Linked DNA regions of Mus musculus. The protein of the gene in region 2 binds, or shares a complex with, the protein of the main gene of each other region. Links are inferred from orthologs where the notes say so. Each region holds a gene or a part of one and is shown on either strand. Other genes may lie near its edges. The genes, in order: Med7, Med19, Med31, Med18, Med21, Med16 and Med26.

Evidence for each region.
Region 1: Med19 (region 2) and Med7 share a complex: the UniProt entries of both Homo sapiens proteins name them as parts of the mediator complex. The link is inferred for Mus musculus from reciprocal best matches to the Homo sapiens genes MED19 and MED7.
Region 3: Med19 (region 2) and Med31 share a complex: the UniProt entries of both Homo sapiens proteins name them as parts of the mediator complex. The link is inferred for Mus musculus from reciprocal best matches to the Homo sapiens genes MED19 and MED31.
Region 4: Med19 (region 2) and Med18 share a complex: the UniProt entries of both Homo sapiens proteins name them as parts of the mediator complex. The link is inferred for Mus musculus from reciprocal best matches to the Homo sapiens genes MED19 and MED18.
Region 5: Med19 (region 2) and Med21 share a complex: the UniProt entries of both Homo sapiens proteins name them as parts of the mediator complex. The link is inferred for Mus musculus from reciprocal best matches to the Homo sapiens genes MED19 and MED21.
Region 6: Med19 (region 2) and Med16 share a complex: the UniProt entries of both Homo sapiens proteins name them as parts of the mediator complex. The link is inferred for Mus musculus from reciprocal best matches to the Homo sapiens genes MED19 and MED16.
Region 7: Med19 (region 2) and Med26 share a complex: the UniProt entries of both Homo sapiens proteins name them as parts of the mediator complex. The link is inferred for Mus musculus from reciprocal best matches to the Homo sapiens genes MED19 and MED26.

Annotation. Positions count from the first base shown.
Region 1 is NC_000077.6:46,435,594-46,439,760, reverse strand, and holds the start of Med7 (mediator of RNA polymerase II transcription subunit 7), read right to left. Parts: upstream 2,801-4,167; 5' UTR 2,570-2,800; exon of another isoform or gene 2,449-2,569; intron 1-2,448. UniProt on the Homo sapiens protein: Component of the Mediator complex, a coactivator involved in the regulated transcription of nearly all RNA polymerase II-dependent genes.
Region 2 is NC_000068.7:84,676,952-84,681,201, forward strand, and holds the start of Med19 (mediator of RNA polymerase II transcription subunit 19), read left to right. Parts: upstream 1-1,450; 5' UTR 1,451-1,493; coding exon 1,494-1,710; exon of another isoform or gene 1,711-1,877; intron 1,878-4,250. Other genes in the region: Tmx2 (thioredoxin-related transmembrane protein 2 isoform a precursor), read right to left, coding at 900-1,088. UniProt on the Homo sapiens protein: Component of the Mediator complex, a coactivator involved in the regulated transcription of nearly all RNA polymerase II-dependent genes.
Region 3 is NC_000077.6:72,212,531-72,216,830, forward strand, and holds the start of Med31 (mediator of RNA polymerase II transcription subunit 31), read right to left. Parts: upstream 2,801-4,300; 5' UTR 2,459-2,800; coding exon 2,431-2,458; intron 1,686-2,430; coding exon 1,608-1,685; intron 1,344-1,607; coding exon 1,247-1,343; intron 1-1,246. Other genes in the region: 4930563E22Rik (uncharacterized protein C17orf100 homolog), read left to right, coding at 2,801-3,190. UniProt on the Homo sapiens protein: Component of the Mediator complex, a coactivator involved in the regulated transcription of nearly all RNA polymerase II-dependent genes.
Region 4 is NC_000070.6:132,461,122-132,465,275, reverse strand, and holds the start of Med18 (mediator of RNA polymerase II transcription subunit 18), read left to right. Parts: upstream 1-1,354; 5' UTR 1,355-1,502; intron 1,503-2,267; 5' UTR 2,268-2,338; coding exon 2,339-2,411; intron 2,412-4,154. UniProt on the Homo sapiens protein: Component of the Mediator complex, a coactivator involved in the regulated transcription of nearly all RNA polymerase II-dependent genes.
Region 5 is NC_000072.6:146,641,319-146,645,378, reverse strand, and holds the start of Med21 (mediator of RNA polymerase II transcription subunit 21), read right to left. Parts: upstream 2,801-4,060; 5' UTR 2,769-2,800; coding exon 2,727-2,768; intron 1-2,726. UniProt on the Homo sapiens protein: Component of the Mediator complex, a coactivator involved in the regulated transcription of nearly all RNA polymerase II-dependent genes.
Region 6 is NC_000076.6:79,906,139-79,910,285, forward strand, and holds the start of Med16 (mediator of RNA polymerase II transcription subunit 16), read right to left. Parts: upstream 2,801-4,147; 5' UTR 2,758-2,800; coding exon 2,680-2,757; intron 2,453-2,679; exon of another isoform or gene 2,368-2,452; intron 2,199-2,367; exon of another isoform or gene 2,080-2,198; intron 1,519-2,079; coding exon 1,353-1,518; intron 1,009-1,352; coding exon 901-1,008; intron 797-900; coding exon 627-796; intron 1-626. UniProt on the Homo sapiens protein: Component of the Mediator complex, a coactivator involved in the regulated transcription of nearly all RNA polymerase II-dependent genes.
Region 7 is NC_000074.6:72,496,311-72,499,810, forward strand, and holds part of Med26 (mediator of RNA polymerase II transcription subunit 26), read right to left. Parts: intron 1,288-3,500; coding exon 1,213-1,287; intron 797-1,212; coding exon 1-796. UniProt on the Homo sapiens protein: Component of the Mediator complex, a coactivator involved in the regulated transcription of nearly all RNA polymerase II-dependent genes.

The DNA.
Region 1 (4,167 bases), on a different chromosome or scaffold from region 2:
GGGGGGGAGAACAAAAAACAAAAAAACTTCCTTGTTAGGCTAATGGGATAGAGCAAGGAAGGTACAGAAAGTTGCACACCAAAGACTCTGCCTTCCAAAAGGTTTGCCCTTTGTCTACTTTGTGATAGCACCACAATTATGATTCTAACATTCAAGTGTAAAGACAGGTTCTGTAACTCACAGTGGACAATGGCAAGGTCATTTTTACTGCAGAATCACCGTTTAAACTACTTAGTCACTGACTCCCAGGTACCATGACTTCTTCACAATACTGCTCTGGTCCTACGGCCTGCTGTGTCCTGACTCTTAACTGTATTCACCCACGACTGCAGGTTTTTATCAGATAGTTTGTTTAACTGAATCAGACTTAAAAATGCTGAATTGTTATGTTTATTGCAGTGAAGATAACAGAAGTGAGAGCCTTGTTGCCCTAATATCTCTAACTATACACCCAAGTCGAGATATGCAAACTTTGTCTATGAAGGAAATTCTGAGAACACAAAACAGTATCACTTAGAAACCCTACTATTTTTTTGATCTCTTCAAGTCTTTCTCACCTGTTAAAGAGCACTCTTGCTGCCTGCCAGACTTCACGTGATGGTGAAGTAAGATCTGCTCTGCTTGTTTAGAAAAGGATGCTAGCACTAAGGACTCACATATTCTAGGTAATCTGACAAATGTAAAGCATACAAAGTGGAAAAACAAGCAGCAGAGTCCACCACAGGTTTGGCAGAGGACTTTATTTACTGTTATTTTTAAACATTTTTTTAAAAAGACCTAAACTGGGCATGATGGTTCCCGCTGTAGTCATGATGGGTCATGCTGTAGTCCCTGTGACTGAGAAGCTCGATAGCTCTAAGTTCAAGGCCAGTTTGGACTACACAGTGAGGCTGGGCCAGCCGGTGCTAAAGATCCATCTTTAAAAACTAAGTAAATATTTTTAAAATATATAAAAGTGGGAGTAAGATATGGTAGTGGTCTGTGAGGTATTAGAGGAGTGTGGAAGCGGGTATGATCAAAACACATGTGTGTTTGTGTGTGTGTGTATAAAATTCTCAAAGAACAAACATATTCTGAGAACTAAGGAAAAAGGGTCTGTATTTAGGGTGCTTTTATATGGTACATGATATACTATTTTTTCATGTCTGACTCCTTTTGGTAGGCATATGTTGGAACCTACTCTGGAAAAGAACATTTATATGCAAATGTCATATGCCTTATTTATTATTCTTTCCCATAATCAAACTACATATGGTATCTATTAATCTCATGTCGTTCACTTTCCTTTTTACTGTACAGTGGTCTCCAAACCCAAACACTTAAAACTCTCTTTACATCTTGACAAAAATCACCATTGTTGCTGGGCAGTGGTGGCGCACGCCTTTAATCCCAGCACTTGGGAGGCAGAGGCAGGTGAATTTCTGAGTTCGAGGCCAGCCTGGTCTACAGAGTGAGTTCCAGGACAGCCAAGGCTACGCAGAGAAATTCTGTCTCAAAAAAACAAACAAACAAACAACTATAACAAAACACCGTTGTTAAATTTCATATTTCAAATATTTTCCAAGGTTTCTGAAGGAAGCCACATCTTACAGTATAGTAGAGTTAGTATAGTACAGTTTTCTTAACACATTAGCAATTTTTACATCTTTTCTACATAAATTTAAAACCTAAATCCCAACATATATGGTCAAAATAACCTTTGCTTTTTCCAATTTAAGTACATTATACAATGAGAAGATTCTTGAGTGCTTTCTCACACTGATGTACACTGCCAATACCTTAAATCTGAGGGAAGCAACTCCAAATTCTTCAGATTGTCTAACTGTTAGAGCTAATTCAGGGTGTATATACCTAGAACACGAAAGTCTACTTGTAGCCACTTCAAGTCAACACCTGGCCTAAATTTCATCCCCCGAAGGCTTTTGAAGTTGGGGATCTGCGCTTCCCTTAGCCACACCCACACTAAACCCGCAGTTTCCCGAAGGTTTTTAGTAAGTGACAGATCCGCATCCTCACTCCAATCATCAGGACGGTACGACTACTCCCAATTTGACTATAGAGACAAGAAGCCAATTCCCAACGTGCAGAAGGGGGTGAATTGTACAACGGGAATCCGCATTAGTTTTTTCGGGCGCAAGTGCAAACCCCCGTAACTTGGGCATCCCGCGTTAGAGCGGGCCACCTTACAGAAACCGCCCATTACCGGTTCAAACTGAACTTTTCAAAGCCGCTGGAGGTCGTGACTCGCTAACACTAACAAGATCCAGTGTCTCGTGGGTGCTTTTTTTTTTGGGAGGGGGGGGGTCCGCAAGCTCAGACACTTGGCTCACTTTGTCCCCGTGACTGGGTCCCCGCGGAAAGTCTGGTACAGGATGAATCCGGCTCCGACCCAGGCTCTCGCTCCCCTCCCCCAGCCCCCGCGCTCCCAGGCGGCTACTGTCACTTTACCAATGGCGACAGGGCAGGCTAAGACCACGACATTATAAAAGCCCGTGGCGTGGGGACGAGAACTCGGACCTCCCAACCTCCCGTCTGGCTTGTCGTCCGGAGAGAGCGGTACTCGGTGTACCTTCGGCCGGCCGCCTGCCTCAGGCCCCGGGGAGGCTTCGCGGAGGAACCGGGAGGAAGGCTAGCCCGGGCGTCCCAGGCTGTCCCGCGCCGGACTTCGGCGCTCCACGCCGGGAGAGACGCAACCGCGGGGGCGGAGAGACAGACTTAGGCTGCGGTCGCCAACCGCCGCCGCCCGCTCACCTCAGCTCTTTCTTGCTTTTCCGGTAGTGACTTTTCCTCAGCGCAGCGGAAGCACAAGTTCCGGTTGCCTTCTCAGGAAGAAGCCTCTGACGCGGGCCTCTCATTGGCTACCAAGGCTGTCCTATAGCAGGTCCTACTCCCGCCCTAAAGATGTTGCACATGCGCACTTTCGCATCTCCTGCTTCTCTCGGGAAAGATCCGCTGTCTGGTTTCTTGGTCAGGTCAGGAGAATACTTCTTCGTACTTTTTGTTAGTAGAAGAAAGTACTCTCTAGTAATTCCATTCCTTGCAGCCCCCACTTTTATACGAGACTTTTAAAATTAAATACTTGCCTTATGTAAAAGTCAGAAAATACAGATAAGCAATATATTTAAAAATTATACTAATGTAATCATCAAAAATGTTTTTTAAAAGCAAGATTGTACTCTATGATATATTCATATATATGGAGATATTTGTGAACATGATTAAGAATAACATCCTAAACCTTCATTTTCCCCCTTCCATTCACTTTTATTTTCATTTAGGAATTCAAAGATGTCTATAACAATCCTTCCACAAATTGACAAGTGAAAAAAACTTAATATAATTTTTTAAAATGGAGGGAGTGGGTAATTTCACTGTGTAGCCCAGGCTGGCTTCAGATGTCTCTTCCCAGCCTCTGGAAAGCCAGAGGTATAGAAATGAGCCATCAGGACTAGCAAGAAATATTTCCATTTTGGCCTTTCCCTGAGGGAGAGGAGGAGGGGGAGGGAGGAGAGAGAGAAGAGTTGTTAACAGATGATATGGGAGTCGTAAGATGCAGTGTTGCAAACTAAAAGTAAGATAAACAGCTCTGCTTCACAAACAAGAATGTCTCAGTTTCTTCCTTTAAATATGTGGAGCATTGCAGGCATAAAAACAAAAGAAGAGTCTACTCACTACCAACTTCCATAGTTATATGAGCCCCATCATTTTGTCTCTAGTCTGGTATGAACCTCTAAAAGGTAAGGGCTCTTCGTTTTTTCCTATACCCACAGATTTATTATCTTACTGAAAGTGTACTAGGGGTTATTACACTGATAGAATGAATGTGTGTATGCACATGGATATATATGTATATATGACTTATCCGAGTGACTTACAAGATGCAGTTCAAGTAGTCCAGCAATGGCTGTCTCAGCCCTGAAAGGCTGAGAATCCTGTAGTTGCTCAGTCTAAGAGGCTGGATGTCTCAACAGACCCCCACCTGGCATTGGAGACCTGGAAGATTCCTGGAGAGCCACAGGTCTTCAGTCCATGTTGGAATCCCAAAGAAGTTTGGTTCTAATACTGGCAAAGGAATGGCACAGCAGTGGTACAGATGAAGTTGCCAGTGAGTGTTAGAGCAAGCAACCAAAGAGCAGTTTCCTTTCTTCATGTCCTTTTATCTGGGCA
Region 2 (4,250 bases):
AGTATCTGTTGTGCTCTTTCATTTTGAGTTAGTGTCTAACTATGTAGTCCTGATGGATCTAGAAATCCTATATAGACCAGGCTTACATCAATCTTAAAGAAGTCCACCTGCCTCTGTCTCCAGAGAGCTGGGATCAAAAGGGTACAACACAAAGCCTGGCAACAGTACTGTATCTTTAATGTAAACAAAGTTAATCTTATTTGAGAGTCCCAGAACATGTGAGGCCTGCCCAAGGTTATATCAATACCTTTAGGCCTTAAGTCCTGGTCATTGCTATTTTAGCATAAATACCTGTATAGGTATTTATTAGCTCTATGTCCACAACCTTTACGGCAAATGTTAATTGTTCTTACATACTGCTTCTTAGATGGTTGAGGGGCCTCCCTCCCCACACCTCATATTTTTGTAATCTTCCCTGTTTTTCTATCCCACCGCAGGAAGATAGTGTGCATAGTTACTATGCCCAGAGTATTCGATTTTCCATCCAAGTCATTTATTTTGTTGAGTCAGCGACCTTCGTCTGCCAGTCTATCAGAGAATTGAATAAGGTTAGACAGCACTTTCTGAACGCTGCGTTTCCTTGGGAAATCGCCTAACTACACTGTGATCACTTCGTTAAAAATTAAACAAAAAAAATTTAATGGTATTTCTACTATTGGCCTTTTCTTCACTGGCGCCCCAGGTAGCTTGGAATCACTGTAGAATACTGTTCATCTGTGATGGAAACCCTGTAATCTGTTTCTCCATCTTAAACACGGAGGTTATGACTAGATAACGGCCTAGGCTCTGCACTCAGTCTGTAAGGCGGCTACATCCCGAAACCTGCTCCCAGATTTTCACATGCACCTGCAGGGCAGGGATGGTCAAGGTCGAGAGCTGGTAAGGCAGGGGGCGCTCACCCAGTCAAAGTCACACGGGTTGCCATCTTCGCGTTGCGTGGGGAGACCATTGCAAATCGGTGGCAGTTTCCTCACGAGGAGGAAAGCAATGGAAAGCAGAGCAGACAGAAGGCAATAAGGTCGGGCCAGCCATCGAGAAAGCCGCGGCACCGAGTACACCAAAGCAATCAGAGGCGCAAGGACAGCCATCTTTCCTGCCTACTCTCTCGCAGGCTCACTCCCGCTCCCCAAATCTTCGTCCTCCGCCCCCACCAGCAAGGCTTCTATTGGACCAAATATCAGATGCAACGCCTCCAGACCCGGATGTAGATCTCTTATTGGATGCTATAATAGATCAGAAAATGAATTAAATAGTCTATTGGTCCTCATCGTTGTCGCTTTTCTAACTGAGTCATTTTATTGGCTATTAGTCTGCGAACCACCTTCCTAACCAGTCTCTCAGGCGACGGAAGTAAGTTGCCGGAAGATGGTAGGCGGGGCTTAATGTATCCAATGATGGGACACTCTTAGACGAAGAGGGTGGTACCCTGTGAAAGTACTGTCCAATCAAAGTAATTAACGCCCGATCCCGGGTAACCAGGAGCGCAGAGTGCTATGGAGAACTTCACGGCACTGTTTGGAGCTCAGACTGACCCCCCACCGCCACCAAGCGCCCTAGGCTTTGGGCCTGGAAAGCCACCCCCGCCACCCCCTCCTCCTCCGGGAGGTGGTCCAGGCGCAGCCCCGCCCTCGACGGCAACCTCGGCCCCCGCAGGAGCGGATAAGTCGACGGCTGGAAGTGGCCCCTTCTACCTGATGCGGGAATTGCCAGGTGAGTAGTAGGCCAAGAGTAGCCACTCAGATTGTAGTTCAGGTGAGGGTGTGGCTAGCCTGTCCCGCTAGGTGTGAGATAACAGGGCTACGCGGGGCCAGTGGGCAACAGTGTCAGAAGCCCTTTGGCGATTCACAACCCTAAGGGATAACTTGATTTTCTGGGGTGGGTTTGGGTTGGGTGTGAATATCTGGGACAACCTTCAGCGAGAAGTTCTGTGATCCGGGTTCTCTGACTGCCGTTTGTGACTCTATAAAAACGTGAGCCGTTGTTTAGAACTCGGGAGACCCGATTTAACATTTCTGGAGACACTTAAGATTTTAGTTTAAAGTCTGTCACAAACTTGTTGGTTTGTAGCAAGTTGCCTTCCTTGTCAGGGACTCGGAGATTAACCTGTTCAAAGAAAGGATTAGAATTGAATCAATTCTTACTTTCATAAAATTATTCGGGGAAATTGTGGTGGTGGGGGGCGTGGCTCAGTGGTAGAACTCTTGCCTGCCTTGCAAAAGGCGTCGCGTTCACAGAATCATTTCTGAGTAGGTAGCATTCAAGAATAAACAAAGCCATCCCTGTTTGGATAGAGAGGAGATACTAGGTACAAGAAACTAAATCAGGAGACCTTGGGGGGCGGGGCTTAGAATATCTGAGGGGCAGAAGACACATTGGACTCAGGAAAGCGGAAAAAATCCAGTAGTGATGGGAAATAGGTAGAGGCTTTTATAAGGCAAGGTAGGTTGTTTAAAGTTCAAATTGAAGTCATTTCAATATAGGTGCAAAATGATCTAATTTAGTGATTTTTAGATATCCAGCAGAAACATGAAAAATGAAAATAGGATAATCAGAAGTTGCCAGTCAGTGTTCAGAAAAGGAATGGTTTGGACCAGGGCTTAGTGGTCGGGAAGCAAATGAATACAGGATACATGTTAAAGGTAAAGCCTACAGAAATAAAGAACTAAATATACACAGAGAGAGGAATTGTGAGTGTCCTGTACAAAGGGTACAGTAGTCTGAGACTAGGAAGGCATGGAAAGAAAAAATTTGAAGAGCTAAAACTTAAGAGGCGTTCTGGACATGTTAAGTCTTGGGGAACTTGTAGTACTCCATACCAGCACTCAGGAGGTGAAGGCAGAAGGAGCTATAGTTCAAGCCCAGCCTAGGAGACATGAGATCCTGCTTCAAAAAAGAAATAAAAACCTCAGTTATCCCAGTATTTATTAGCAAAATAGTTTGAAGTTCACATCAGTGCAGTGTGTAACAATATGTAATACTTACTATAGTCCTTTTAGATAGATAGGTATTGTCTGTATTTTTTAATTGAGAACTGAAGCATAAAGAAATGACTGTTAAGGCAGTTTTCTTTTTCCTTATTTTAGTTGTTTTTTGTTTTTTTTAAAGATATGTATATGACTACACCATTGCTCTCTATGGACACACCAGAAGGAGGCATCAGATCCCATTACAGATGCTTGTGAGCCACCAGGTGGTTTCTGGGAATTGAACTCAGGACCTCTGGAAGAGCAGTTGATGCACTTAACCACTAAGCCAGCTCTCCAGCCCATCTTACTGGGTTTTTGAGACATGGTCTCACTCAGTAAGCCTGGCTTGTCTCAAATTCATTGTAGACTAGGCTGGCCTTGAACTCACAGAGATCCACTTGCCTCTACCTTCAAGTATGTACCATCATGCCCAGCTTCTTCCAGCAGTTTATCTTTTGCATTACCTGTTCTAATTATACCATTAATAGATCAGTTGATAAGTACTGAATATCCAAGGTATGGTGGGATTATGAGAAGTAAAGATTATATACATATATATATGATTTATTTATTTATTATATGTAAGTACACTGTAACTATCTTCAGACACTCCAGAGAGGGCATCAGATTTCGTTATGGATGGTTGTGAGCCACCATGTGGTTGCTAGGATTTGAACTCGGGACCTTCGGAAGAGCAGTCGGCACTCTTAACCACTGAGCTATCTCACCAGCCCCGAGAAGTGAAGATTATTAAGCCTAGTTTTTAGGTAGCCTATTTTTTGAGATCCAAAATACATGGTTTAAGGATTGTGCTTATATTTTGTGGGTGTCAGTCTTATTTATTTATAGTTCAACACAGGAAGCAATGTTAAAAACTACCTGATAGTTTTCAAAATGTGTTAGCCAAAATGACAGCAAGAATAAGATGTCATTTGAACTAAACACTGAAGAATTTATATAGGTAAACAAAATTAGAAAGTTGTTTTCTCAAAGGAAATAGTGTTACAGTTTTTTGTTTGTTTGTTGTTTTTTGTTTTTCGAGACAGGGTTTCTCTGTGTAACCCTGGCTGTCCTGGAACTCACTCTGTAGACCAGGCTGGCCTCAAACTCAGAAATTGGCCTGCCTCTGCCTCCCAAGTGCTGGAATTAAAAGTGCCACCACTGCCTAGCTGTGTTACAGTTTTGTTGCTGTTTTCTACCCAGAAGATAATTAGATCTGCTGCAGACCCTCTGGTCCCGCAAGATCCATCTGGATACATTAGAAATTTTGCATGGAAGATTAGT
Region 3 (4,300 bases), on a different chromosome or scaffold from region 2:
TCCGGTCTGAAAATTTGCTAGCATGTAACATTTTATATCTTCTAATATAACTTCAAGTCTATCATTTGGATTCCTAAAGGAATCTATAATTGCATCATGAAGAGCAAATCTACAGGCAGCAAATCAAGTCAGGAAGGTAACGAGGATAAAAAGAAATTTTTGAAATGTTTTACTCTCATTTTTAAAATTAGAGTCTCTGCCGGGCAGTGGTGGCGCACACCTTTAGTCCCAGCACTTGGGAGGCAGAGGTAAGCATATTTCTGAGTTCAAGGCCAGCCTGGTCTACAAAGTGAGTTCCAGGACAGTCAGGGCTACACAGAGAAACCCTGTCTCGAAAAACAAAACAAAACAAAACAAAACAAAAAAGAGTCTCTCTGTGTGGACCTGATTGGCCTGAAATTTGCTACATAACCAGGCTGGCCTCAAACTCATAGAGATCTACCTGACTCTGTTTCTTGAGAGCTGGGATTAAAGGGATGCCAGGCTAAACTTCTGGTTTTTCTGTTGTCTCCTCCTTTGAGAGGCACATCTAGACAGGGCTTACCTGTGTAGAGCTTGCTGCCCTGGAAGTAGCTCTGTAGACTAAGCTGGCCTTGAATTCATGTGCCCACCTCTGCCTCCCAAATGTTGGGATTAAAGGTGTGTGCCAGCTTCTTCTTCTTCTTTTTTTTTTTTTAAGTCAAAGCTATTGAGTTTGATAGTGTCCGTGTTTGTTCTTTTACAGTGAGTTAATGTGTACAATACATTTAGCACAGTGCTCGAAACAAAGAACACTCACTATAAAGAAGGGCAGTACCTCTAAAACTCCCAGAAAACAATACTTCCTACCTTCCTAGATTATAGTTTGGTAGGCATTAAAAATCCAGAAAGACAAGGGCAGTGCTAAGTGACAAGGTTAGACACCAAATTACATTAGAACTATAGTCTGAAACCAGTTGACTGGATCTTAGCTAGCCTGCATGAACAGAAGTGGTGTGTTCTGGCTTATATTACTTAGAGAGTAAGCTGGCTCCCATGAAGACAGTTGTTTGGTTCTGTTTGAAGGGAGTGAGGTAAGAATGGTAGCAGAAATAAATGCAATTCCTAAAATAATCTAAGTTACAGATGACAGTATCTTACATTAACTAAAAGCAGAAAGATTCAAAATATCATTTTCCATTCCCACACAGAGAAAACTGCTCAGTATCAGCACTTTGTATTTATGATAAAGTATACACAGATTTAGGATTATAAAAATTAAACTTACTTTAGATATTTGGCATATTCTGGTTCTTTCCAGTAAAGCAAATACTTAAGATAATTAACAAAAGCTTTGTCTTTGAAGTAACCTCTTTGGGCAAGAACTGAAAGACACAAAGAAACAATCCGTATGTCAACCAACCGCTGGACTACTGATTAGTAATCTCTAAAACAAAGTAGCTCTTAACATCCCTACCAACAGAACACAAGGAATTAAAAACACAAGCCTTTGTTTGCCCAGTTAACTTACAGACCAGAACAAATAAAATCCCATTCAAACACATCGAAGTAATAAATAGTATTACAAACTGCATCTCTTCTCAGAAATTAAGAGCTAGTTGCTTAAGTTAGTGATGTACTTAACTTACAATTAAGGTAGTTTGGGTTGGCTAAACATTGCACAAATTCCAACTCCAACTGAAACCGAAGCCGATTTCCAGCATCATCTAGGAGAAAAGACAAATATCAAAGTGCAGAAGAGACTTTCTTAGAAATTAAAGATATATGTATATGCGTGTGTGTATATATGTGTGTGTGTGTGTGTGTATATATATATATATATATATATATATATATATATATTCACTAAGTAATGAGGCCCTGTTTCCAAAACAAAAATAGTAAAACAAAAAATAGTAAAGAAATCCTTTAAAGTTAATTGAGGAAAAAATAAGTTGAATGGGAATTTACCACCTGCAGGCCACTTTGTTAGCGGAGATCACTGGACAGTCTGTAATAGCTGTGCGGTTCCCTAAGTTGTTATAACCACAACTATCAACTGTGATTACGTTAAGCAAAATCAATGTGCTACACAAAACCGAAGCATGATGCAAAGTGATTAAACAATGGAGAGAAGGCGGTGTCCGCATTAGAATACACAGGTTATCGATATTTCGGGCAAGTTCTTGGGAGTACCTTCAGCACAGACAGTGGAAGGTCTCAGTCCTCTCCCACGGCCCTGCACGGCCCCAAGAGCCAGGGTTGGAGTAGGGGTTTGAGCAACCCAGGAGCAAAGATGTTTTCACAGACCATAGTCTGAGAAGCAGCACAGCCTTCTCCTCCGCCGGTCCCAACTCTAAGGATGCCAAGTTGAACCCGAAAGACAGCGCAGGAAAAGGGAAAAGGGAGGGAATTTCGGGGCGTAGGACCATTCCCTTGGGGTGAAGACTCGGGGTGCAAGTCACAACGTACCTGTCTCCATAGCGACGGCCGCGGCCATAACAATCAGAGTGAGGCGAACACCACCAGCCCCGACCGAACCGCGACTTCGATTGGTGAGAATCCGGAAGCCACGGCTCCTACTTCCGGTCGCGGGGCAGAGTGGGACACGAGGGCGGGGACAACCTCACTTATGGGAAAATTAGCCCCACCTATCTGTGCAGACCCGGCCGGCTGCGCGCGCAGATATCGAGCGGGGCGTGCCGGAGGACTTCTCATTTTTTAGGTCTCAGAGTCCTGCTACCTACCCCGACGTAATACACCACCCTGACGTCACCTTTCCCTGTGTGACGTGACGCAGAGCATGATCCTTGGGCCTCTTTGTCCCACCTGACCAAGGTGTATGGGCAGGATGGCCTCGCCCCTTAGGAGCAAGTCCTCCGCCCCGCGAGTGGAAAGCACCCGCCACAAGGAGACATCGACTGTCCGCGTGGAGACGTCGTCCCACCGCGAGGAAACGTCATCCCACCGCGTGGAGACGTCCTCCCGGCAGGTTCGAACGTCTTCCCGGCAGGTGGAGACCTCCCAGCGCCACCGAGAGGGGCCCTCCCTCACCCCCTCCACGAAGCGACTCCCTCAGTTCCTTGAGGTGTCCTCCCAGCACGTGGAAACCTCCTCGCAGTGCACGGAAACGTCCTCCCGCCACGTCAGGGCGTCGTCATCCCTGAGGGTGGAGACTACTGTGCACCGTGTTGAGAGCCCAGCCAGGCAGAGTGCCAGAATGGCTCGATGAAGTGCCAAAGGTCCTTAGCCAGGACTGAAGAGTTGCCAGCCAGCCATCTTCCAGGAGAACCGAGCATCTTTGGTTTCATGGAAAGAACCCATAAATCAGTGTAAGAAACAGGCTGTGGTTTCTGGGGGCTGTTAACATGTATTGACATTGCAGCACCTTAGACCATCCTGTTGTTGACCCCAGTGTGCTATTAACTTGAAGCCAGCACAGAAGGTTTCAGACTGGTAGTGCAGTATAAACCTGGCTGATGGACAATGAGATTCTTTGAGTCTCTACACCAGGTAAGTTTTATAGTCTTAGGTCACTCTAGGATGTGTTGACGACTTGAAATTTGCAAAGAGGGGCCAAACTTGTCATGATTCTTGACCGCTGGCCTGATCATATACCTGCTTGAAACCTACAGGGCAAGGTATCATCTTTCATACATTATTAATTGGCCTTTATTAATACTTATATTTCATTATACATTTTCTCATGTTGTCATACATAGTATTCCACCCACACTTAAAAAATTAAATCAGGGGGTATAGGAAAAAACAGGACAATTAATAAACAATCAATAAAACCATTAATAATCTTGGAAGGGAAAGTAAAGAAGAAGCCATGACACTTGGCCTGAGGCGTGAGATTGACAGGATGGTAACTGAGTATTACTGCATGCTAGGTAGTAGTTAGAGCATGGCAGCTAGAGCAGTGGAAAAGACTAGGATCTTCCTCTAATGAAGAGACATGCAACAAAGGGGAAAGTAAGACAACATGCTGTTGTATTCCCGCGAAGGAAAGGCTGTCTGTCTTGTGGTAGAGAGTAGGGAACTCTTTAGAGAATATGGTCAGGGAAAGCCTTGCTGATTACATTTGGTCCGAGATTTGTGTGAGTGGACAGTGAGCCATATCAGGATCTAGAGGGAAGTGCATTCTAGACAGAAGGGAAAGTCTACATTTTTTTTAAAAATCAAAGATGTTTATGTAAGAGAAAGATCAGTTAGTATATGAGAGCGTGGTATAAGGAAGAAAACAAAAAGGAGGAAGATGCCACTTCATATAGAGTCTTGGAAATCTTCTGGGATTACAGTAAAGAGCTTGAATTTTATTCTGAGATCATCAAAAGAA
Region 4 (4,154 bases), on a different chromosome or scaffold from region 2:
GGGAACCAGGTACCCTTGCCTGAGGTAGTGACCTTTGGGGAAATGTTAAGGAGGGAGGGGTCCTGAAAGATTAAGGGTGCCTCACTCTATGTCCCTTATGTGTTTGGCATATGTACAGAGTTCAATAAGTACTTGTTGAATTTAAAATCCTTATCTATCTATCTATCTATCTATCTATCTATCTATCTATCTAATGTATATGTGTGCCTAGATATATGTGTACCATGTATGTCCTTTAGCATGGATGCCAGATGAGGGTGTCAGATCCCTTGGAACTAGAGTGGCAGGTGGTTGTGAGTCACATGATATGGGTGTTAGGGCTGAACCCAGGTCCTCTGAATAACAGCAAGTGCTCTAAACTGCTTAGCCATCTTCCCAGCCCCTAGTTATTTATTTATATTTTGTGTTATGAGTGTTTTTGCAAGTGTGTATGCATGTCTACCACACGGATGCAGTGACTGATGTAGTCAGACAAGGTAATAGAGCCCCTGGAAAGGAAATTATAAATGGTTGTTAGCCACTATGTGGGAGTTTGGGACCTCTGAGAGAGCAGCAGGGGCTATTAACTGCTCAGCCATCTCTCTAGCCCTTATTAATTAACTTATTTATTTATTTATTTATTTATTTATTTATTAAAAACCTCACAATATTGTTTAAGCGTTGAATGGCTCTGCTGGAGAGATCCTTACCACAGCTTCCCAAGGTTCTCAGATTTGAACTGTGCCTGGTCCCATGTATTTAAAGTTATGGTATGCACTGTAAATTGAACAAGTTTGCTGTTGTTTTGTATTAAACTTATGGCCTTGCACATGTCAGACAAGGCTCTAGCACTGAGCTGTTTCTCCAGACCCTTGAAAGCACACAAAATATTGTTCCTGCTGAGGTCTATATATAAATACACAACGCTGTGGTTAGCGTTTCCGATTTACAACATACCCCTTCCTTTTCTTTTTCTTTAATTTAATTTTTAACTTATTCATTTTACATCTCTTTCACTGCCAGCCCCGCCACCTCCGCCTCCCTTCTTTTTCAATGTGACTCTCCTTCCTCGCTCCCCCCAGTGGCTGAGTTCAAAATTTAAATATGGTATCCAATCGGCTTTATGAGATCTGATCAAAACATCCAGGTCGTCGAAGCTGAAAAAAAAAAAAAAAAAAAAAAAAACGTATCCTAGAGCTGTCCTATGACAGTCACCTTCCACGGTACCACTCTAGACTAGGACCCCAAAGCAACAGCAGCCCCGAACCTTGCGCGTGCGCTCTTGCACACCGGTGCCAGAAGGCGGGCGCGTTCCTTGCCCTCTCGGCACCCTTACTTTTCGGGGCGGTAGCGGAGAAGTTTCCTGTCCCTCAGCTTCCTACCGGAAGTGCTGAAGGGAGAGTTTGGCGGTTTCTCTGGCTCTGCGCTGGCGGCATTTGGGGGTGCGGATTGCGGGTGTGCACGCGTGGATTTAATTCCAGCTTTACAAGGATCTGTAGCGCGGACGGAGACGTGTTGCTAGTGTAAGTGCACACGTGTCCCGGCTGCCCGCGTGGGAGGACCGGGACAGTCACTCTAACTTCATATTTCCCGCCTGGCTCATTTGCAGAGGCGTTCTCATAAAGGCAGAACCAGTTCTAGTTACATCGCTCGTGTGCCCTGGGGCCTTTCCCTGAGTCTGCATGGCCTCCGCATAGAGTGAAGGGTGGACAAGGTCCTTAGGTCTCCCTCGGATCTTTTCTTTTGTTTTTTCTTTGAGACAGTCTCACTGTGATGCCCTAATTGGCCGGGATTTGCTATATAGACCAGTCTAGCCCGAAGCTGCAGCCGTCCTTCTAACTCTGTCCCCAAGTATTGAGATTACAGATGTTCCCCCCAACACAGCCGGTTTTTATTTCTTTATGTTTGGAAACGAGGCCTCTCAGTGTAGCCCAGTGTAGTTACCATTTTTGAATATGAATGTCGGTTTCTTTCGAGCCAGGTAGTGGGTGGGGGAGACGAGGGCTGTGGGGTTAAACACCCTTGGTCTTATTTTAAACGAGACAGTAGGTTTCGGAACAAGAGGTTACATAGCTGCCTCGAGATTACATAGAAAAACGTTTATAAGGTTCAGAACTTGATACTAGATGGCTATTCCGTATCTCCGGAGCTAGAACCCCTCTTATTCCCGAGTCACCCGTTCTTGGAACCGGCTGTATAAGCAGATGTGCAAAGTTAAGACTGAATGAGCTTTGGTTTCAAGGCCACTGCCGCAGCAAACAGGGTATGGACAAGTGTGACTTTTCCAGGTGGATCCTGTGCTTCTCCGGTTGGAAGATCTGTTTGCAGTTCTGTTGTCTTGAACCTAATTAGAGGCATCATGGAGGCGCCTCCAGTCACCATGATGCCCGTCACTGGGGGCACCATTAACATGATGGAGTACCTCCTGCAGGGTAAGTCAGCCAAGGAGCTTGTGTTACCAAGTTTTCAGTTTTTTCTGGCTAGAGCAAGTTGAGATGACTTATAGGCAACTGTAGGGTTCCTGTAACTGTGTTTAAAAGAGGGTGGGTGGGAAGATGGCTCAATGGCCAGAAACTCACTCTGTAGACCCTTCTGGCTGCAGGGGCCTGGGATTATAGATATTTACCACTATTGTCCTATTGTCTGTTCTCTCTCTCTCTCTCCCTCTCTCCCTCTCTCTCTCCCTCCCTCCCTTGCTCTTTCTTTCTTTCTTTCTTTCTTTCCTCTATTTTTGTTTGTCTCCGTATAGTTCTCGCTGTCTATAGACCAGGCTGGCCTCGAACTCAGAATTCAGAGGTCCATCTGCTCTGTCTCCCAAGTGCTTGGGATTAAAGGCACAAGCCACCACTGCATGACTTTCATTTTTTTTTTTTTTTCATCTTGAAAAATTAAAACTCAGGCCCGAGGAGAAGGCCCAGCCGTTAAAAGCACTGGCTGCTTCTTGGTTCAATTCCCAGCACCTACATGGCAGCTCACAACTGTGTGTAACTCCAGTTGCAGAGAATTTGATGCCCTAGTCTGGTCTCCATGGATTCAGGCATACAGGTAGTTCACAGATGAGCTTGCAGGCAAAACACTCCTTCTTACACATAAAATTTAAAAACAAAAAACAAGAACAAAACAAAACAAACCAAAAAAACCTCATACCGAGTCTCCCTCTCACCTCTCCACTGTGTTTCCTACCTTAGCTGCTTAGATGCCCCACATGAGTGAGGTCCCCAACTGGCTTATTTCTCCTAGCATTATATCCTTGATAAAGTCATGTCCTATGACAGAATTTATATTGTTTTTGTTGTTTGGAAGCAGTACTAAGGAGCCCAGGCTGATTAATTTTTTTCAAGTATGATTAAAATGATTCTTTTAGATTTTTAAATCTTATTTTATCTGTATGAGTGTCTTGCCTGCATGTGTGGGAGTCAGAGGTCAGACAAGTATGTCCAGTTCCCTGAAAAGGAGTCGTGGACGATTATGAGCCACCGTGTGGGTGCTGGTGGACACCGAACCCAGGTCCAGCACTCTTAGCTGCTGAGCCTCCTCTCAAACCCCCAGGCTGACCTCTAACTGGCTGGGTGTCCAGGAGCAGTGTTAACCTCTGATCTTCGGGCCTGAGCCTAACTGTGTGCATGCGCTGTGCATGCTGACTGGGCTGTGTCTGTTGTTGAGTTAGCATTGTTATTTCATAGTTCATTCATTTCGGTACGTGTCTTAGCTTTTTGTTGCTCCACGGCCTCCATTTTAAATGTGTATATGAGCACATCACAGTGCCCTCACCTCTCCTAGTACAGTTGGGCTGGGCATCTGGTCTCCTTCTCATTTTTGGTTACAAAGAAAACAGCTGATACAGGTCAGGGGACATGTGGTGGTTTTATCTTTATATTTATTTTTGGAGCTTCAGTTTTTTTAATTGTTTTTTTTTTTTTTTAAGATTTTTTTGTTTTGTTTTTGTTTTTGTTTTTCGGTTTTTCGAGACAGGGTTTCTCTGTGCAGTCCTGGCTGTCCTGAAACTCACTCTGTAAACCAGGCTGGCCTCTAACTCCAACTCGGAAATCCACCTGCCTCTGTCTCCCAAGTGCTGGGATTAAAGGCATGCACCACCCCTGCCCAGCTTTTTTTAAGATTTTAAAATACCATTTTTAGTTCTCTGTGCATGTGTTTCAGGGGATGGTACATGCATG
Region 5 (4,060 bases), on a different chromosome or scaffold from region 2:
CATCCTCAACTATGTAAGGGAGTTTGAGGCCAGTTTGTACTACATGAAAAACAAAAATTTTTTTAAACTGTAAATTATCAGAAATGTATTCTTCAAGATTCAAGTTGTAACCTTGTTGCTTAAATTTGTTTGTTTTTGGGGCATGATGGATCTCAGCATAAGAGAGGCAGAGACAGAGGCACTCAGATCTGTCAGTTTGAGGCCATCCTGGAGTATGTGGACAGTTCTAGGCCAGCCAGAGTTACATAAGATTCTGCCTCAAAAGAAGCAAAACTAAAAAGCATTGCATTTAAGTAATTTGAGAATATAAGTTCACACCATTCACAAACTAAACATATGTTCTCACTAGTCCTAACCCCTGAAGCCTCATTTAGTATTTCCAATCAATAAACATTTCTATTGTTTTGCTGTCATTATTTCAATGTAAAATTCTGAATTGTCATTGAAAAGCTAACCTGGTTGGCTTTCTAAGTTGCAGTGTTCTATTTAGCAGCACTGTCATAAGAAAGAAAAATATAAATGAAGCTTACTCAATACAGCAGCTAGTGTTCTGTCTTGTAAATTCATTCAAGACCCATTATTAATCTGTTCAAAAATATTTATTGAAAAACCAACTCCATGACAAGTACTGTATATATTATAGAAATGAACATGGAGTTTCCAGATGGCAGAACAAATGTTAATATTGCTCTGTGTTCCAATCTACTTTAGCTCTTAAGAGCTGAAAACAATCCACTGTAACTCCCTAGCCACATATGGGGTTTGTTTGCATCATCTAAAAGTCTCTTGAGTTTATGACATCTTTCTAAGCTCCTAGAATAGTTCTTTGTAAACACATTCCCTGTAGACACAGTAGGCATACATATTAACTCAATTATCAGTACTCCTAAGACTATATCGTATCCTTAACATCCTAACTATAGGACCTACATGAATATGCATACTTAGGAGATGAGCTTCTACACAGCATTATTAAGATTTGTAAAACCAAAAAAATTTAAATTAAAACAAGAAAGACTTGTAAAATTACAAAAGTATTTTCTTGGGAGAGGTTGGCTGGCAGCCCAGGGAATCTTTGCAAAACAGAATGTACCTTGGTGACTTCATCAACATTTAAGAGATAGCCCCTCAACTTTAAAACTACTTTATTTACACAGAATAGACTAGTCTTCCCACTAGTAGATACACAATTTCAATGTACTCTCAAAAATGATGAATTACCAAGAAGCCTTGTTATAACATTCCTGTTTAAAAAACACTGTCCAGAGAACTAGGTATTTAGATTTTTTTTTTCAGCAGGCATATACTGTGTAGGCTCTTCTACATCAAACTACAACCAGAATGACACTAAGAGATTTTAATTACCAATGGAAAACTGTTGCACTATTTTTGTTGTTGTTGTTTTGGTTTGGTTTTTTTTTTTCGAGACAGGGTTTCTCTGTGTAGCCCTGGCTCTCCTGGAACTCACTCTGTAGACCAGGTGGCCTTGAATTCAGAAATCCGCCTGCCTCTGCCTCCCAAGTGCTGGGATTACAGGAATTAAAGATGTGGGTCACCATTCCAGGCTCAGTATTTAGTTTTCCATTCATGTACAATTAAGCCAGAATAACAGCCAGAGGCGACAAAGTTAGAGAAGCTAGCAGTTTTCAGGAGCTTTTGTTGTAGATTTTGATTACTGGGCTGTTTTTTTTTTTTGTTTTTAACGCCAATCTGGTCTCCACAGTGTGCAGGTCAGCCAGAGCTACACAGTGAGACCATCTCAAAACAAAACAAAAATCCCTCTTGTGTACATTCACTGTTCTGTGGTACTGTGCTGTAAGAGCTTCACTCCACCTATAAGAGCCTCTTAGGGAAGATCGTAAAGCAGACTTAAACAAATGCAAAGAAACGGAGAGGCCAGGATCTGGCCTCTTCTAGACGTTACTCTCCAACCATTGGTGCTGGAGTCGCCAAGAGCGGAGGGAGGAGTGAAGGCCTACAGAAAGCAAGGCAAGCTCACGCCCTGGTCACTCATACACCAACCTACAAACACTCAACACTTTGTTGTGGTCTTTTGTGTTTTGTTTTCTGAGATGGGCTATCAAACTGGAGCTCAGGCTGGCCCGGAGCTCGCTGCAATCCTCCTGTCTCAGCCTCAGAGGTGGAATCACAGGAGAAATCCGTTTGGCAGGTTGAAATTGAAACGCGAGGGAGGGATACACACAAAAGTGCTTAGGCGTGTGCTGCCCCACAAAGGAAGTTCTAGAAGCATCCCTGGAACTTGAGTACTCGCTTCCTGGCTACCTGGCCGCAGACCTTGAGTCTCCTCAGGAGAGGCCGTCGTCGGGTCCCCTCCTTATTAGCGGCCACTCGTTCCCTTCCTCAAGTTCGCACCTCACCAGAGGCCCCGGGTCCCATGGCTCTCAGGAGAGACTGGCAGGTCCCACATCCTCTCAGGAGAGACCCCCGGGTCCCACCTCCCTTAGGAGAGACTGGCGGCTCCGACCTCCCCTCAGGACAGGCCCCCGGGTCCCGCCTCCCCTCAGGACAAGCCGCCCGGCCCGGTCTCCCCTCAGGACAGGCCCGTCTCCTCAGACCCCGCCCTGTGGACTACGTGAGACCCAGGCCTCACGGGGTGCGCCGCCCGCGGCGACCTCAATCTGCGCGCTCCCCGGGGCCTTGCCTCGCCCCTTCCTCCTCTCTCCGCGTCAGGAAAGCAAGGCTGGCGAGCAGAGGAAAGCCCTCACCGAGTTCACAGCGTCCTGCAGCTGAGTGAGTCTATCCGCCATGTTCACCACGCACGCAAGGGTGCGCAAAAGCTGCTAGAGCGCGAGCGATTGGCCAATTTATGACGCCTCCGGACCAATCACAGGCCTTCCTCCTTGAGGGGCGTGGTTAAGGAAGCATGCTGCCGGGGAGGGGCGGGGCCAGCCTGCGGGCCTGCTGACGTCAGGCGGGTGGGATCCAGGGCTGGTGTGGGGGAGGAGGGACGCGTGCAGGCTGAGCTGCTACGGGTTCGCGTTTACGCTGGACCGAGCCTGTGAAGGGAAGGTGCTTCCTCCATTCTGTCTGTTAGCTCTGACGAGGCTATGCCTCACGGTGTAGTCCTGGCTGGCCTGGAATGTGTTTTGTTTGTGAGGGGTTTTGTTTTTGTTCGTTCGTTTCTTTGTTTTGTTTATCTGGAACACTTGTTTTCCTTTGCTTTTACTTTGCAGGTATACCACAAAGCATACTCGCAGCCCGCCATTCACAACATTTAAATTCGAGAAATTAACATTCTCCAGGAAATCAAAATGGCTAGAAAAGGGTGGCTAATTAGTTTGGGGCAGGAGGTGCTTACCCAACTGGAGACTAGATTAGTGCTTTAATTCTGAGTGGGAGTGCCTGGGGGAAATGGAAAGCATTAAACAGCTCTGTGATGAGGAACGGGTGATAAGTAAAGTGAAAAGGAGGAAGAAGAGCATTTGAAGGTAGGAGGTGCAAACTCTGTAGACCAGGCTGGCCTCGAACGCAGAAATCTGCCTGCCTCTGCCTTCCAAGTGCTGGGATTAAAGGTGTGCGCCACCACGCCCGGTCTAGGCAGGTTCGATCTTAAGAAAGATCAGCTTCAGAATGTAAATTTAGAACTGGGGCTTCCTGACAGTTTTCCGTGTGAAGGGTGATAGCAGAAAGGTCATTTCTGTTAGCCTGGGGATATTCTGATGGGAAGTGAGTCCTGAATCTGCAAATACCTGGTTTGTGGAACTCAGACAAACTGTTTATCATAGTTTCCAAGATGATCATTTCTGGAGTTGGAGGTGGGTGGGTATGTGAGCCTGTTTTTTGTTGCTACAACTGAATAGCACAGACAAGCAATTACAAAGAACGTTTACTCCCTACAGTGTTCTGGAGGCTGGGAAGTCCACTATCAAGGTGGACTGTCATCGTGAGAGAGCCTTCTTGGTGAATCCTAACAGAGGAGGACATAACAGATGAGGAGGTTGGGAGGTATCCACCAGAGAAGACTCCTCAGATGTGGTTTAAGCCAACAGATAGTCATGATTAGCCAGCCATCGACTATACTGGGTATTCAGGATCCCAG
Region 6 (4,147 bases), on a different chromosome or scaffold from region 2:
GTATCACTGTGTAGCCCTGGCTGCCCTGGAACTGGATATGTCGACCAGGCTAGCCTTGAGCTCAGAGAGAGCTGTCTGCCTCGTGAGTACTGGGGTTGGGCTGTGACACCAGGCCCAGCCTTTTGTACTGGGTGAGAGGCGGGCAATGTGGAAGCTGCTGGCCCCACAGACCTGCAGCAACCACAGAACGGAGGCTGTGCTGTGCCTCCTTCCTCACAGGCTGCCCCTTTCCCTCCATTACTGAGTAAAAAGGACTCCCAGAGGCCCCGAGTCTAACTCTGCTCCCACTTCTAACTGGCTGAACTCTGGATGCAGACGGCCAGGGGGATTCTGGGTTGTCATTAAATCAAAGTGGACTGGAATCTGAGAACAGCAGTCACTGGCTGGTTACAAAGGCAACTTGTTGGAGATAGCAGCCATTTTAAGACTCCACTGCAGACACGAGATATCTGTTAAACAGATTCACTGTACAGGGAGGGAACATAGCTAAAGGGGAGCTTCAGGGTCAGGGGCGCTCAGGGATGGCAGGTACTGACAGGTATCCCACAGCAATTGGCAGTGAGCACGGGAGCTGCACACTTGTGGTTCCATCCACCTACCCCTAGGTCCCCCAGTGGTACGCTCACCTTCTCCACATGCAGGGCCAGCTTTACACCGTTGTGCAGCCAGGACAGGGCCACGATGGGGTCCCCCTCCACCTGGCTGCCCACCGAGCTCTCCCAGCTGTTGGCCAGGTGGTCAGCCATGCTCCAGCATTTGATCTGTCCATCAGCATCAGCAGACAGTAGCCGGGACCCTGCGACCAGAGAGCTGTGTCAGGGGCCTTCCCCCCACTCTGGACTCCCAGCGGGTGGTGGCTGTCGCCAGGCTCTGGACTGAGAGCACACCCCCTGGCCTCACCTGACTGGTCCCACTCCAGGCAGGTGATGGCCTCGCTGTGGCCAGAGCTGACAGAGTGCACTTCCCAGGGGTGTTCCGTGTCTAGGATATGGATCATGTGTGTCAGATCTGCAGTGGAAAAAGAACACTGAGGTCAGTGTAGCTCGAAGTGCCTGTGTCCCCACCCACAGTGCACCTCTCCTATAAGCTCCGCCATGCTGCTAGTCCCTGGACAGGGCATCCTGTGCAGCCACATGTCTTAACATTGTTGGAAGATGGTGAGCAGTGTATGTATGTCTCTTCTCCCACCTTGCTTTCCCTGGCCTCTCAAAACCCTCTAACTGGCATCAGAGTGTCTGGCTCTGCCACCACGAGCCTTCCAGATCTGAGGCACAGTGGAGCCACACCTGGCAAGCCCACCCACATGGTCTTGATCCCCAGGTCCTAGCCAGGTAAGGAGAGCCAGCACTCACCCTGGTCATCATTGCGTAGGTCTGTGGTGAAGGCAATGAGGTTCCTGCAGGACCAGGCACAAGCCAGGGGCAGCGACGGGCAGTACGTGCTCTTGGCCCACTTCTCCCATTCGCACACATAGGCCAGGTCCATCATACCCACCGCACCCAGCACGGTCCCTGGCTCCTGGGGAAAAGGGAGGCAGTGCTCTATAGCAGCTCCCAGCTAAAGGGTGTCTAGAATGTTCTCCAGCGAGAGCCCTGCTATAAAATCCATGATGCCCCGCCTGGGGTCACTCCTCCCTAGGCAACCCAGATCAGCCTGAGCTCAGCCTACAAACGCTAAGCACCCTCCACACACACAACCGGGCCCACCCCTACCACTTCAGTCTGGGCCTCAGTCTACACTCTAGTTCAGTCTCCAAGCCTTGCCTGGGACCTAGTAGCTTAGACCCCGCAGCAGCCCATGCCACACAATACTCTCAACAAGTTAACATCCAAGGCTCAAATTCTGAGCCTTTTTTTGTTTTTTTTTTTTTGAGACAGGGTTTCTCTGTGTAGCCCTGGCTCTCCTGGAACTCACTCTGTAGACCAGGCTGGCCTCGAACTCTGAAATCCGCCTGCCTCTGCCTCCCAAGTGCTGGGATTAAAGGCGTGCGCCTGGCAAAAAGCCTGAGTCTTTTTTTTTTTCTTTTTGGTTTTTCGAGACAGGGTTTCTCTGTATAGCTCTGGCTGTCCTGGAACTCACGTTGTAGACCAGGCTGGCCTCGAACTCAGAAATCCGCAGCCTCTGCCTCCCAAATGCTGGGATTAAAGGCGTGAACCACCACACCCGGCTAAATCCTGAGTCTTAACACACACACCTCCACCACCTCCCGCCCAAGCTCGTTAAGCTCCACCCACATTGTCTAATCACCCTAGGCTCCGCCTCCAAACCAAACTGGTAAATTCAGCCTCAGTTTCTGCTCAGCTTGTGACTACTAGGTCACCTCTCTGCATCGATCTCAGATCTTTAGCACCCCCAACCCCGGCCCACCTTAGACTCCGCTCCCTAGGCCACATCCCTCTCTATCAGTCTTATTTCTTCAGACTCTGCCCCTCCATCCAACTTCTGAACTCAGGCCACGCCCCTCCCAGGGAGGCTCAGCCCCTCGGACCACGCCCCCTCCTCAACCCCGTCGCCTTAGGCTCCCCCTATTCACATCCCTCCCACAACGGCCTCTACCCAGCAAGCTTTGTTCCCAGGCCCGCCCTCTGACCCCGCAAGCCCCGCCCCTCGGCCTTCCGCTCGCGGTTTTAGCCTGAAACGCACCAGCCACGAGTCCCGTACCCCGCACGCCGTACTAACCTGTCCGCCCCGGGCGCCCAGTCGGCCCGGCGGCCGCGGTCCACACTCGCCCCAACGCCCGGGATCCGACGCCGCCATCTCTAGGCCCGCGCCGGCCCCCTCGCACAGACTTGTGGGAGAAGCTCGGCTACTCCCCTGCCCCGGTTAATTTGCATATAATATTTCCTAGTAACTATAGAGGCTTAATGTGCGATAAAAGACAGATAATCTGTTCTTTTTAATACTAGCTACATTTTACATGATAGGCTTGGATTTCTATAAGAGATACAAATACTAAATTATTATTTTAAAAAACAGCACAAAAGGAAACTCACCCTAACTGTAAAGTAATTGTGTGTTTTGAGACTATAAATATCCCTTGGAGAAAAGCCTTGTTTGTGCTCGCTTCGGCAGCACATATACTAAAATTGGAACGATACAGAGAAGATTAGCATGGCCCCTGCGCAAGGATGACACGCAAATTCGTGAAGCGTTCCATATTTTGTTCCTCAGAGGAACTGACAAGCACCCTAACATCCTATTGGAGGCTCACTCACGTTTTTTCTATTTTGTTTCTTGACAGCAGAGCTCGTTGCTCACTGTATAGCTCAGGTTGGCCTGACACTGATGAGGTTCTCCAGTGACTGCCTCTACCTACCTACTGGGATGACAGAGGTGTACCACCAAGCCACGGGCTCCTGTGTGAGTGTGTGTGTGTGTGTATAAGTGTGCCTTCCACAGTGCACGTAAGAGGACAAGGAGTTGGTTCTTGCTCTCAGATCATCAAGCTTGGCGGCAAGCACCTTAACGTGCTTAACCATTTTGCTGGCCCTCAAGTGACTGTTGTTTGAGGCAGGGTCTCACTGTATGGCCCTGGCTATGTAGACTAGCTGGCCTTGAACTCACAGAGATCCATCAGCCTCTGGCTCCTGAGTGCTAGGATTCAGAGGTGTCCAACAATGAGACCTGTCTACCACATGGCCCAGGCTGGCCTCAAAATCACTTGTCACTGGTCACCATGTGGTTTAAATGGTGCTGGGGATGGAACCCAGGGCTTTGAGCATGCTAACCAATTGCTTTCCCCATCGAACCCCAACCTGGCACCTCATCTTTAAGCATTTTACATGTTGTAAAATGAACTAATGTTATAGAGACTTTGAGGTTCCCCCGTGTCCAGCTTGCTAGCTCGTGCCCTCAGTGATCTCCCAGTCTCACCCACCCCCACCAAACCTAAAGACAAACACGGGGACAGGACTCGAGCACCAAGGCTTTATTAAAATCGTCCCTTTCCCCCAAGCTCAAAGAATCACACAGAAGGGGAAGGGAAGGAGGGCCAGGCCTGCTGAACATATAAGACCTCTGCAGTGACCACAGCTATGCTGAGCAGCAGAGGGGACAGGGGAGGGGACAGGGAACACAAGGTCAGAGGCTTCTGGCTGGAAGTCCTGGACCCCTGGCATAAGGAGAGGGGAGAAGGAGGAGGAGAGGA
Region 7 (3,500 bases), on a different chromosome or scaffold from region 2:
GGGATGGTACCTGCGTGTTGTCCGGTGGCTGGGGCCATGGGGAAGGGCTGGACACCTGGCCCTTGGGTATGTAAGAGCTCCGATGCCGTGAAAAGGAGCCTTCGTGCCGTGAGTTCCGGGGGCTGAAGGAGCAGCGAGAGGACCCCCTGGGATAGGGAGGGCCTGGGGACTCATCTGCCCTGTCCAACTGCTGCAACTGTGCAGCCTTGGTCTGCAGGCAGGGAACTGGGGGTTTGCCCAAGCCGGGAGAGCTGGGGCGCGGCCGCACGGCGTTCACGGGAATCTTGGTGCTGTGCTTCTCATTATCACTGGGCTCCAGGCGGCTGCCATCAGGGCCCAAGTGCCCACTGCCATCCAGGGGGCTGGGTAAGCTCTCTGGGCTCCCGCTGATCCCATTGGTGGGGAGAGGGGATGCATTGGGAACCAGAGGGTCAGGACTGCCTTTGGAAACTTTGTGGGGTGGCCCTGGGTGGCCCAGGTCACGCTGGTCCCCCCTGCGCTTACGGCTGCCCAGCCTATCTAGCCGTTGCCCAGGGAGCCTTTGGATGTCGTTGCGATTCTTCAGGTCATGGATGCTCTTGGGTGCACCAGCCACTCCCATCTCTGGTCGGCAGTTGTGCGCACCCCCATTGGCAGAGCCTGCAGCTCCTGCCAGTGCCCGTAGTGCCACTTCGTTCTGGTGTACAGGCTCGATGAGCTTCTGCCAGCTTCGTAGCAGCCTCTTGGCCCGCTTGGCCAGCTCCTCATTCTTGGTTTTCTTGCGGACATCATTGATGAGCTTCCCTAGTCGTGTCTCCTACAAGAGAGTGACATACTTTTACAAGGGGCCAGCGTCTTGGATATAGTTTGGGTATGTCCAGCACTGTGGCAGCAATGAATCTTTAGATCTGGGACTCAATGGCTTTCTCAGAAACAGGTCTACCGGTTCCAGGTGCCTGTAGACTCAGGTGCTATCAAGACCACAAATATAACCGTGGGTGGCCCTACCAGGATGTCTGGGTGAGCACATTATACAGCCTAAGACTTCCTACCCAAAGAGAGGGCAGTACCACTAACCAGTTGTCTAAAGCACAGTTCAGGAAGGAGCCCAGTTGTGAGATTAGAAGCCTCCATTCTTGGAGAGTTGAGTAAGAGCCTAACCCACAGGAAGAAAAGCTGTCTGGGGCTACCTTTACCTCCCATTATGCCCAGGGTAGGGGCAAGGGCTCTTACCTCCAGTGCCTCTTTGGTGATGGGGTATCTCTCCAGACTGGAGATCACTTCCAACACTGCCACCATGTTCCGGATCTGAAGAAAAAGAACCATGTATCAGCTCAGGGCTCTGCCTTCTCCCATGGAAAGCCCAGCAGCCTAGGGCCCTGCAAGATACCAGCACTACCAAAATCCCTATTACCCTTTCCCAGGGTTCAGCATTACCCATATGCAGGCACACCCCACTGCCATCAGGGTGCTCTGCTGAAGGACATACCACATAAAACACAAAGCCTCAGAGAAAAGGAAAGGAAAGATAGGCACAATAACCAGTGAACCCGATGACTGTATCAAGGTCTTCATAGAGACTCTCAAGAAAGCAAGATGTCACAAACTATAAGATCTGTATGTCACATGGCTAGGAGGGCCTCTGGAACACCACCTGAGCAATAATGCAGCCCCATGAAACCAGATGAGAGAAGGCCCGAGACACTAAGAGGCTCTGTACACAACAAGCAGGGTGAGGACTAGTGCTGAGCTTCATGGTGACAGGAAGCTAATGATCTACAGGCTCACATATGGGATCCCACTCTAAGCCAGCCTTTCCACTGGGCAGGTGCCAGGATTGTCATTCTGGAAAGAGTAGGACTAAAAAGCTATGACTGATGTGACTGGACATCCCAGCAGCACAGCCACACACAGTAGCAAAGCATGAGTGGGGGGGGGTGGGTGAAGAGGAGTTTCCAGAGCAAGAGGGGACAAAGCAAGATGTCACAAACTGTAAGATGTATATATATGGCTAGTGAGACTAGCCATATTGGTGAGCTCCAGGTTTGATTGAGAGACCCTGTCTCAGTGATCAGGCGGAGGAGTGAGTGATGATTCCCTGCACCAACTTGAGCTGCCCTTTATGCATGTGCACACATGTATTCCATACACATGTACATGGGAAACTACTTCAATGAACCCCAGACAGAAACATGGAAGTTGAAAGTAAGCTCTAAAATGGTTGCAGGAGAGGATCTGCAGTTGTGGGATGATAGATGTTCCTGAGGAGTTCAGAGCACAGGGCAGAGTAACATGGCACTGCAGGTTCTAGGTTGACAAGCAGTCAGGAACTGTGGGGGTGGAGTTTAGACAGAATACCAACAAAGCTGATTGTCCATAGCCCTAAGTCCTCTCTATCTTTGTGCCACATGTCGAAAGGGTATGATGATATCACCTGCCACACTGGGTAACATGGAAAAATAGTCTGCAACCCTACCGACTGTTCATGAGGAACCGCCCAGCTCCAGCACTTGGGAGGAGGTGTCAGCTAGTAGCCCCCAGGAGGTTGTTCCATGTGACATACCACAAGCAACCTAGTGACCAGAAGATCGACCTTCAGGTTTCCTGCTGCTGCCCTGATCTATGTTGGCTGAATCCCTTCATGTTTTGATTGTCTCACCTACCCATAGCCTAGGGCCAGAGAGCTGCCTCCTTACTGGAGGTTCTTGGGGATGATCCATACTCAGAGAGATACCAACAGAATTCAAGTCCAGGTCCCAATTTTCTTACTGGCTGTCACCTAAAATGCTGCTCCTAGCTTCAGGAGTACATCATGTCCCTGTGTTCCCAGCCCTCTACCTACCTTCAATACCAGCCCCAGAATCCTGATCATGTATAGCCCAGAATTGTTCCTGTCCGCACCTTAGCCATGTCTTGTCAGGTAAGGTACCAGGCCTAGGTTGGTTTCCAGACTAGGAGGTAGATAGCCTATAGGCCATGGGTATCCCCCAGCTTTTCTAGTCTGTCCATTTCCAGCGGAAGGCAGTCACCATGTCTCTCTTGCTTCAGGGCTCTGCCTCCTGGGAGAGAAGCTGTACTGAGAAGAGAGCAGTCAGCAGCCCTTGTACTGTCGCACAGCTTTCACTAAGCCATCCCTCTGTCAACAAGGCAGGCCCTTCCTTGGGAACAAGGCCTTCCACATGTGATATTTCCTCTGGGGCTGGGGCTGTAAACACATCCAGATTACAACATTGGTCCTGCTGCCCCATGGATGGGTGGCCTACCTAGAGACATGGCTGTCGTACTCACCTCTGAAATGGGATGGGCAGGGATTCCATGCAAAGAGTGTGCAATGAGGAGATCATTCCTAAGAGAAGATAAATCAAGTGTTCCCTGGCCTGGGATCTTGGTGCCACTGGGCTCCTGAGCTCCATGGCTTCATCTCCATCTAGTGACCTCACTCTGGTATATTTAGAGCCCTGGGTCCCCACATACTCCTGACCCAGCAGTCCTTGATGAAAGGAATTTGCCCAAGCCCCAAT